Linked DNA regions of Xenopus tropicalis. The protein of the gene in region 1 purifies or fractionates together with the protein of each later gene. This does not show direct contact. Links are inferred from orthologs where the notes say so. Each region holds a gene or a part of one and is shown in the gene's direction. Other genes may lie near its edges.

Region 1 (4,067 bases):
CCATCAAATGACAGCAACCAGCGGGTTTTGTATACCCGCATCCGAGAGCGATCCCCAGGAGTCAGTACTCCCTGCTGCCAAGACCCCAGTATGTTGTGCCTCTGTATCCGCTGCTCCAGTGCACGGCTGTCTTCTCCTCTCTTCCCACACCCAGAAGCACCAGGGGCTCCTTCTACCTCTTCAGGGGTTACTTCCACTTCTTTCTCCCCAGTGCAGACAGAACCCTCGCACTCCTTGGAACGGCAGCAGCAGCAGCACCAGTCCTCCGCTCAACACGATCATGGTCTTCTGAGCCGCCCTTCTGCCTTCAGCAGCGTGCACAGCAGCACAGCCGGCAACACACTGCGTAACCTGAGCCTGGGGCCTACCCGCCGGTCACTAACAGGGCAGCCTTCCCGCTATCAGCAACCATCCACTGATTTGGCTGGTTCTGAATGGACTCGCACTGTGCTGAGTATGGGACCTCGACCGGAGATGGAACCCATGCCGCCACCCAGGACGAGTGCCTCTTCTGTCAGCATCTTGTCTGTTCTGCGACAGCAGGAGGGAGAAACGTCCTCTTCTGTATACACCTCAGCAACAGAGGGGAGAGGATTCTCTAGCTCTGAGTCTGACAGCTCTGCCGCTCCACCACCTGTTCACCCCACAACCACTCGAACTGAACTTCAGTGTGACCTGAGACGCTTCTTCCTCGAGTATGACAGGCTTCATGAACTGGAGCCAGGAGCACCGGGAACAACACAGGGACAGACTCACGAGATGCTTAACAACAACTTAGAACCTGAGCAGCCTGGGCCATCTCATCAACCCCCACAAGCTCATTCAGGCGACAGCACCTCCAACCAGCCCCGTGGACACATTAATCGCTGCCGTGCGTGCCACAACCTGCTGACCTTCAACAACGACACACTGCGCTGGGAAAGGACACCCCCAACTTATCCGGAGACAGCAGGAACCTCTACTTGGCAGCCTCCACCCATTCCTCCCCCAAGCTCTTTCCAGGCCGGTCTCGCCGCTGGCAGCACAGATCATCCTGGAACGCCCAGGGTGGAGAGAGTGGACCTAGGAAGCATGGCAGCAAGCAGTAACCGTCTGGAAAATGGGACTACACAGGAGGAGAGAACAGTAGGCGTGGTGTATAACCCAGAGACTGGACACTGGGAACGTGTCTACAGCCAGCCAGCATCTGTTAGCAGAGCTCCGAATGTATCCCAAGAGGCCTTACCACAAGATCTGCAGGAGGAGAGCACAGAGGAGGATTCTCTCAGAAGGTAGGACGGGGGTTATGGGGCGGGACATTGCTAATTGTTTTTTATGTGAAATAATGGCCTTTGATGCTGGTGTCAACAATCCATTGTTAACTCCTTTCTTGAGACAAAACTAGTTCAGGATTGTCCACTCGAGGCCCATAAAGTGGCCATACATGTACCAATTACAGCCTTTCCTGGGACCATTGTGTTCAGGAAAGATTGTTCATTCCCACCACTGACGTTCAGGGCTGAATCGCCAGATGTGGATGTAGAAACAATAAGGATTCTACCTCCACCTGAGAATTCAGCCCTTAGCGCAGATTTTGCTCGGGAGCATCAAAATCTTTTGTCTTGCCTGATCGATGAGACAGCTGATATCTGAAGCTTTTGCAATATTGGTTGTCGAACCGCCATACATGCACCAAATATCGAGCAATAATATTGGTGCGTGCATTGCCAGCTTAAGCCAGGTGTGGCCCTCCAAGGGATTGTTATGGGCCACAGCAGCAAAGTTTTAGGTAACACTGATCTAGAATTAGATCCTAAGCTCCTAATTTACTTATATAAAAAGACAGTTCTTCTCTTTACCACATGGTGGCGCTGCAGGGTAGCAGTTTTCCATTTTGCACTGAATTAGCCATCTGTAGAGCAGGACCAGCCACTGACTCAAGGGGATTCCACTACAACACTCTGGAGAAGAGATTTTATCTAGGACATCTGAAATTTCTGCAAGGACGAGGAAACACGTTTCCCAGAAACGCAAGCTTTAGTCGCTGACCCCAAGCCCTGTAGCATGGCTATATCCGTGCAACCGTGGGTTGTACTATTTACATATAGGCTAGTATGTCCTCTTAACAAAAAAATATGGGGTTTTGGAAATGTATATGTTTCAACCCCTCCTTCTCCCAGAGACCCACGAGGAGGCCGCCCCACGGCATCATTTTGTGAAGCCATACATGGGGACCCATCTGTCAGTTGAATTACATGGTCTGCTGCCGTATGAAGTTGATCTGCAATTAGCAAATCCTGACGGTACCCCCCTTTGAAAGATATCACTTTAGACAGCTCATAATGCTGACTTTGTGCAGTCTGAATTAGCATGAGAATTCCGTTGATTAGATTATCTATGGAATTAATTAATCTGGGACAGTATTTACCCACGCTGCAAGATTTTCATTGCTACCTTTATTTAAAGGGATACTGTTCTTCTTCCAACCGAAGCAGAGCCGGCAATTAGCCCGGGACTGCTTTTGCAGCCTCGTTACAGAACGGCTGTTGTCAGGATCATTAAGTGAACCAGGCAGCAGCAACACGTGGGTAGTCCTAAAGGTGGCCATACACGGGCCGATTCTAGCTGCCGATATAGGTCCCTTAGACCGATTCGGCAGCTTATCGGCCCGTGTAAGGGCACTAATGACGGGCCTGCCTGACTGACATTTGGCCTGATATCGGGCAGATCTCGATCCTGCAGGTTTAAAAATCCGTCGAATCGGAGAGCGCATTGGCTTGTTGATGCAGTCCCCGACCTGACGGACACCTATACCTGTTGTTCTAATTCGATCTCTTGGCCGAATTAGCACGATATCGCCCACCCCTAGGCGGAGATATTGGGAGAAGATCCGCTCGCTTGGCGATCTCGCCAAAGGAGAAGATCTTAGCGTGTATGGCCACCTTAAGAGAGCGTGATATCTGACACCCCCCCCAAGCTTCTTCAACCAATCATCTAAAGGTGGCCATACAAGGGCAGATTTCGGCTTCTGCAGACCAGTTTGACAGCTTATCTGACAGTGTACAGGGACCCCGATGGGCCTACTCGTCCGATATCTGGCTTAAAATTGGCCAAATGCTGATTGGGCAGGTTTGATTTTTCTAGGGATGCACCAAATCCAGAATTTGGTGCAAGATTCGGCCCACAGAGGGGGCACCAAAATGGTAGGCACCCCCCAGTGACTGTAATTGCTTCCCTTATACCCCTTGTTGGTGCTCCTGTTAGGAGAAAACCTGGGTAGCTGCGAATGGGCGATCCTCTTGTTCCTGTCTTCTTTCTTCCCGATCCTGGGGCTGACATTTGCGAAATAGAGTGAAAATGGTGGCTTTTTTGTTTGGCTTTTTGTTTTGGCTACCCCGGGCTGGTGCGGTTTGCTCCTAACAGGAGCACCAGCCAAAGGTATAGGGTAAGTGATTACCATCACTGGGGGGGTGCCTAACGTTTTGCCCAATTATTGTACCTTTCCTTCTCCTTAAAAGCTCTTGCTGGTGTAGGGGACCGGACTGAAGACCTCACTCAGTGTTGGTCATTGGGGCTTGTTCAGATATTGCCGTTGGAAGCTGAGATATTCTATTGGGTGATTGCTACCGTAGCCAAATGCCTTCTGTTTGACACCGCGATGACTCACAAGGTTTAAATAAAATTAGAATGAAATCAAAGGCGAAGGATAGGGTAAGAATCCAACAGTGCAGCGTGAGCTCATATACATACATTCATATATCTTACCCTATAGCGGGGCTTCAGGCAACCTGTAGCACTCATACCGCAGAACTGCAGCTCTCAGCATCTTTCCTTTTGCTGATGCAGAGATATTAAGAGCTATTTTTGCAGCAGCTATCGTTCTGATGGTTCTTAACACCTGACTGATGTGTTTGATCTGTATATATCTTGGGGTATATATGGGACTTTGCGCTGTGCATCAGACAGGAGACTGAAAGAGAAGCCACGTGTGCATGGTTCAGTGTGTGTGACCCTTGCTACAAGTAATTGGCTCTTAAAGGGCACCTATCACAAAAATTCAGATATCTGATCTCAAATTAATCTTAAGG
Region 2 (4,529 bases), on another chromosome or scaffold:
CTACTAAACCAGGGGTGAGCAAACTTTTTGGCTCACGGGCCACATTTATTCACCCCCGGGCCGGACCGGGCCAGGGCGGGCCCCCTTTGTCTCTTTAATTCCGGCACGCCAATGACACCAAGTCTCGCGTGATGAGACTTGGCGTCGTCGGCGGGCCGGATTAAAAAGGCAAAGGGGCCGGATGTGGCCCGCGGGCCGTAGTTTGCCCACCCCTGTACTAAACCCTTCGGGTAACTGTTCATTATTCCTGCACTTCAGCTTCAAGGAATTTGAATTGCTTTCTTTTGGTCTCATCCGCCCTCAGAACTCTCTTCCAACAGACTTCTGACGTATCCACATGGTTTTCGGCAAATTGTAGACAGGGAACAATGTTCCTTTTGGGTGGTAGCTTCTTTCTCTTTGCAACGCAGCCATGCATACGAATGTTGGTCAGTGTTCTCCTGATGGTGGAGTCATGAACATTGACATTGGCCAATGCAAGAGAGGCCTTTAGTTCCTTAGATGTTAGCCCTGGGTCCTTTACGATTTCCTGGAGTATTACTTGTCTTGCTTTTGGTGTGATCTTTGTTGGCCGTCCACTCCTGGGGCGGGAAACAACGGTATGGAATTGCCTCCATTTGTGCACAATATGCCTGACAGTGGAGCGGTGGAGTTCCAACTCTTTAGAAATAGTTTTGTAGCCTTTCCCAGCCTGGTGAGCATCAATAACAGTTTGGCGGAGGTGTTCAGAAATCTCTTTTGTTCGAGGCATGACGCACTTCCACAAGCGTATGTCGCGGATATCAGACTTGGATCCTGAAAAAACGACAGATTGCAGGGCCTAAAGTTATAGATTGAGAACAGCGACTTATATCTGACTCCTGCTCAGGAAAACCATAGTAGTCACAATCTTGTAAAAAAACATATACAGCTGTATATACATGTAAGTCACTATAAAGGTCTGCACAAATACACTAAACTTCTATGCAACGGGTCGTCTGGAACTTGTTTTTTTGTAACTAGGAAAAGAGACCAAAAACCAAGGTTTTTACAGGCAACCAAAATGTATAAGAAAAAAAACGTGATAACTACCTGAAATATAGAATCCGGAGTACGTTCAATAGAATGTTTCTGTAAAATAAACCGCGACTCTTTGCGTTCCACGCCTCTCTCTACTGCAGGATGTTGACTGCTATACACCAATCAGAAAGCGCAGGAAACCAGACATACAGGAAATGAAGTCTAGACAAGCGGCATAACCCAATCAGCTCTTCGGTTAGAAAAGCCCTCCCCTTTTTGCAGCAGTAACAAATCAAAGCGTGAGAAGGGGTTGGAAAGAGCCAATCATCGGCGCTGTACTGTGAGCGTTGTTTTGTTTCTGGGGACGTTCTGGTTGGCTTGTAGTTTGGCACCAATAAGAGGCGGCCGAGAGCAAGCGCCTGCGTATCTGCTTCTAAAAGGCTTCGGCGATCGTGTCCCGGTAACCGTGTTAGCAAAGCAGCTCCAGCCATGTCCCTGCACGGGAAAAGGAAGGAGATTTATAAGTACGAGGCGCCATGGACCGTCTATGCTATGAACTGGAGTGTGAGGCCGGACAAGAGGTTCCGCTTGGCGTTGGGGAGCTTTGTTGAGGAATATAACAATAAGGTGCCTAGAAGTATGCGCTTAGTGTAAAGGGTTAACTATCCTTCCCTCCTTCAACTGGGTAGAGTTGCACTACATCTCCCAGAATGCTCAGTGAATGTGGATAGTTCTGTGTTACAGCTGTGTGGGTTGTATCCAGATGATACACATATAACATGAATTCAATCTGCTTGGTGTGTGTGTGTATGTATATATATATATATATATATATATATATATATATATAATATATATATTATATAAAGATTACAGCAGTAAACTGTCATTTAGATCTATTAAAGGGTCATTTAAAAACCCTCACACAATCTGCTTATAAATACATTGCTATGTAAGTGTACAGTGACCTGACTCATGTACAGACTGTGTGTTTTGCTTTAGAGTAGGATTTTAAACTGGGGCCCAAATCCAATTGAGAGATGAAGTTTTAAAGGCCAATCACATCAGGACTTAGGGATAAATTATTTCTGGTGAAGGAGGGGGGCAGTGGTCTAAAAATGTCTGACAACCTCTGCCGCTGTGGCCCCTGGAACAAAGATTAGATTATGAAAATGTAGATCTATCCAATGTGCTCCCCTTCTGATGGTTTTTTTTCTGGAGTGCCCAATAGATGACTGACTAAATGTTTGGCAAATAGATGCCAGGTGTTGGTGGGGCCCATACACGAGACTTGGTCTGGTGGGGCTGTGTTGGTAGTTTGTATCAGTGTATGCCCAGTGTTAGCTTCCGCTTGTATAAACTGCATTTGTCTTCAGACAGGGCTGCAATGAGGAATCCCTGAGCCCCATACCTCTAAAGCTGGCCATACACGCACCGATAATATTGTATGAAACCTCGTTTCGTACGATATTCGGTGTGTGTATGGCAAGTCGGCGAGTCGACCGGTATCGCAGGAGGCTCCTGATATCGGTCGACTCGCCGATCGGCCAGGTCAAAAGATTTTGATCGGGCACCATAGAAGGCGCCTGAGCAAAATCTGACGTCAGGGCTGAATCGGCAGAAGGAGGTAGAAATCCTATTGTTTCTACCTCCTTATCTGCCTTTTCAGCCCTGAACGGTTAAGGTGGCCATACACGCACCGATATTATCGTACGAAACCTCGTTTCGTACGATAATCGGTGCATGTATGGCATGTCGGCGAGTCGACCGATATCGCAGGAAGCTGCTGATATCGGACGACTCGCCGATCGGACCAGTTTGAAAATTTTGATCGGGCGCCATAGAAGGCGCCTGACCAAAATTCTCCTTTCAGAGCTGAATCGGCAGAAGGAGGTAGAAATCCTATTGTTTCTACCTCCTTACCTGCCGATTCAGCCCTGAATGGTGTGTGGCGGATCTTACGATGTTTCGTGCGACCGATGGTCGTACGAAACATCGTCAGATCGCCACGTGTATGGCCACCTTTAGTGGCGGGTCACGTGTGTGGCCACCTTAAATAGCAGGGACCTCCCCCCTCCAGGTAGAAGTAAAATGGGGCCCCTGGAAACATGAACACACCCTGATTATTGGCACATTCCAGATTCAGCTCCAGTTGCGTCCCACCTTAATACTGTAAACCCACCCACAATTCAACCAACCCACCTTCTCACCCACAAGCTCTGACCCCCCGAATTGTACAATCAAATCTCTTGGGCCCCTGGGTCAATAACCTTTGTACCCACCCTGCTGGCAGCCGTGACTTTAGGAGCTTAATACCATATACATAAATTATCTCCTTTGTATTGTAGGGGGGGGGGGGGGGGGGATATTGCATAGTTAATAAACACCAAGCCTTTTATAATACGCAAATTAAGTGTATTTCACCTAATTATCAACTTAGGGTATGGTTAAGACAGCTGCATTCTTAGACAAGTGGCGATAACTCTTCATTTTATGTTTTGTTGAGGTTTTAAAACATTTTTATATCTCTAGCTTCCAGGTTTGGCGTTTTTGCTGCTGTTAGTATCACTTTAGGAAGTGAAGTCATGCGAGGGCTGTGTAGTTATGTTGATAAGGCCCTCTCCCGATGGGTTGCCACAGGTCCAATTGTTTGGCCAAACGATCAAATAAATCCAATTTAGCCAAGCATGTGAGTGGCCACATCAAGCAAAAGCCCACTAGTTTGGTGATCCCACAAATTTAGGTGATATCTGTACAGAAATGTTTGCTGTATGAATGGTAATGCTAGGAAGTAGGAGTGGCTCAGGTCCTGCACGTGAGTGGTTTAATTTGTACCATTTCACTGTATTAACCAATCTTTCATTCAGGAATTGATTTTTCTTTCTTTTTTTTTTTTCTTTTTTTAGGTACAGCTAGTAGGACTGGATGAAGAGAGCTCTGAATTCATTTGCCGAAACACATTTGATCACCCGTATCCTACAACAAAGCTTATGTGGATCCCCGACACTAAAGGAGTATATCCAGATCTGTTAGCCACCAGCGGGGATTACCTCCGTGTCTGGAGGGTAAGTACGAAGGCAGCGACTACAAGCCCAAAATATGAATAATGATTGATAATGGCACCCAACAGAGTATTAGCGCTTGAGATTAGAGTGTTGATAAGTGTCATGTTGCTTATTCTGTTTCTCTCTTTATCAAAGGTTGGAGAGACGGAGACCCGTCTGGAGTGTTTGCTAAACAACAACAAGAACTCTGATTTCTGTGCCCCCCTCACCTCATTTGATTGGAATGAAGTAGACCCCAACCTGCTGGGTAAGGAACAAGCAAGGCCTGCTTTTTCACAGTTCTCTGTTCCTTGTAGATCCAAGGTTATTTAATGCATTTTCATAAAACATCACCCAAACTAACACTGAGAGCAAGCCTCTGAGCTTATAAACCAACTTGATACAGTAACTCTATAACTTCTTTAAGCTGACCTTACTTAATATGCCCACCTCCAGGTGGGCGATTTCAGACTGATCCTAGGGCCA

What was found. Proteins that work in one complex are often made in the same cells at the same time.
Region 2: the proteins of ambra1 (region 1) and dcaf7 purify together in Homo sapiens (affinity purification with mass spectrometry; 3 studies listed by BioGRID and IntAct, with this or other methods). This does not show direct contact. The link is inferred for Xenopus tropicalis from reciprocal best matches to the Homo sapiens genes AMBRA1 and DCAF7.

The regions. Positions count from the first base shown.
Region 1 is NC_030680.2:13,047,267-13,051,333, forward strand, and holds part of ambra1 (activating molecule in BECN1-regulated autophagy protein 1), read left to right. Parts: coding exon 1-1,271; intron 1,272-4,067. UniProt on the Homo sapiens protein: Substrate-recognition component of a DCX (DDB1-CUL4-X-box) E3 ubiquitin-protein ligase complex involved in cell cycle control and autophagy.
Region 2 is NC_030686.2:16,437,146-16,441,674, reverse strand, and holds the start of dcaf7 (DDB1- and CUL4-associated factor 7), read left to right. Parts: upstream 1-1,415; 5' UTR 1,416-1,488; coding exon 1,489-1,626; intron 1,627-3,905; coding exon 3,906-4,064; intron 4,065-4,199; coding exon 4,200-4,311; intron 4,312-4,529. Other genes in the region: uncharacterized protein LOC116407961, read right to left, coding at 242-751. UniProt on the Homo sapiens protein: Involved in craniofacial development. Acts upstream of the EDN1 pathway and is required for formation of the upper jaw equivalent, the palatoquadrate. The activity required for EDN1 pathway function differs between the first and second arches.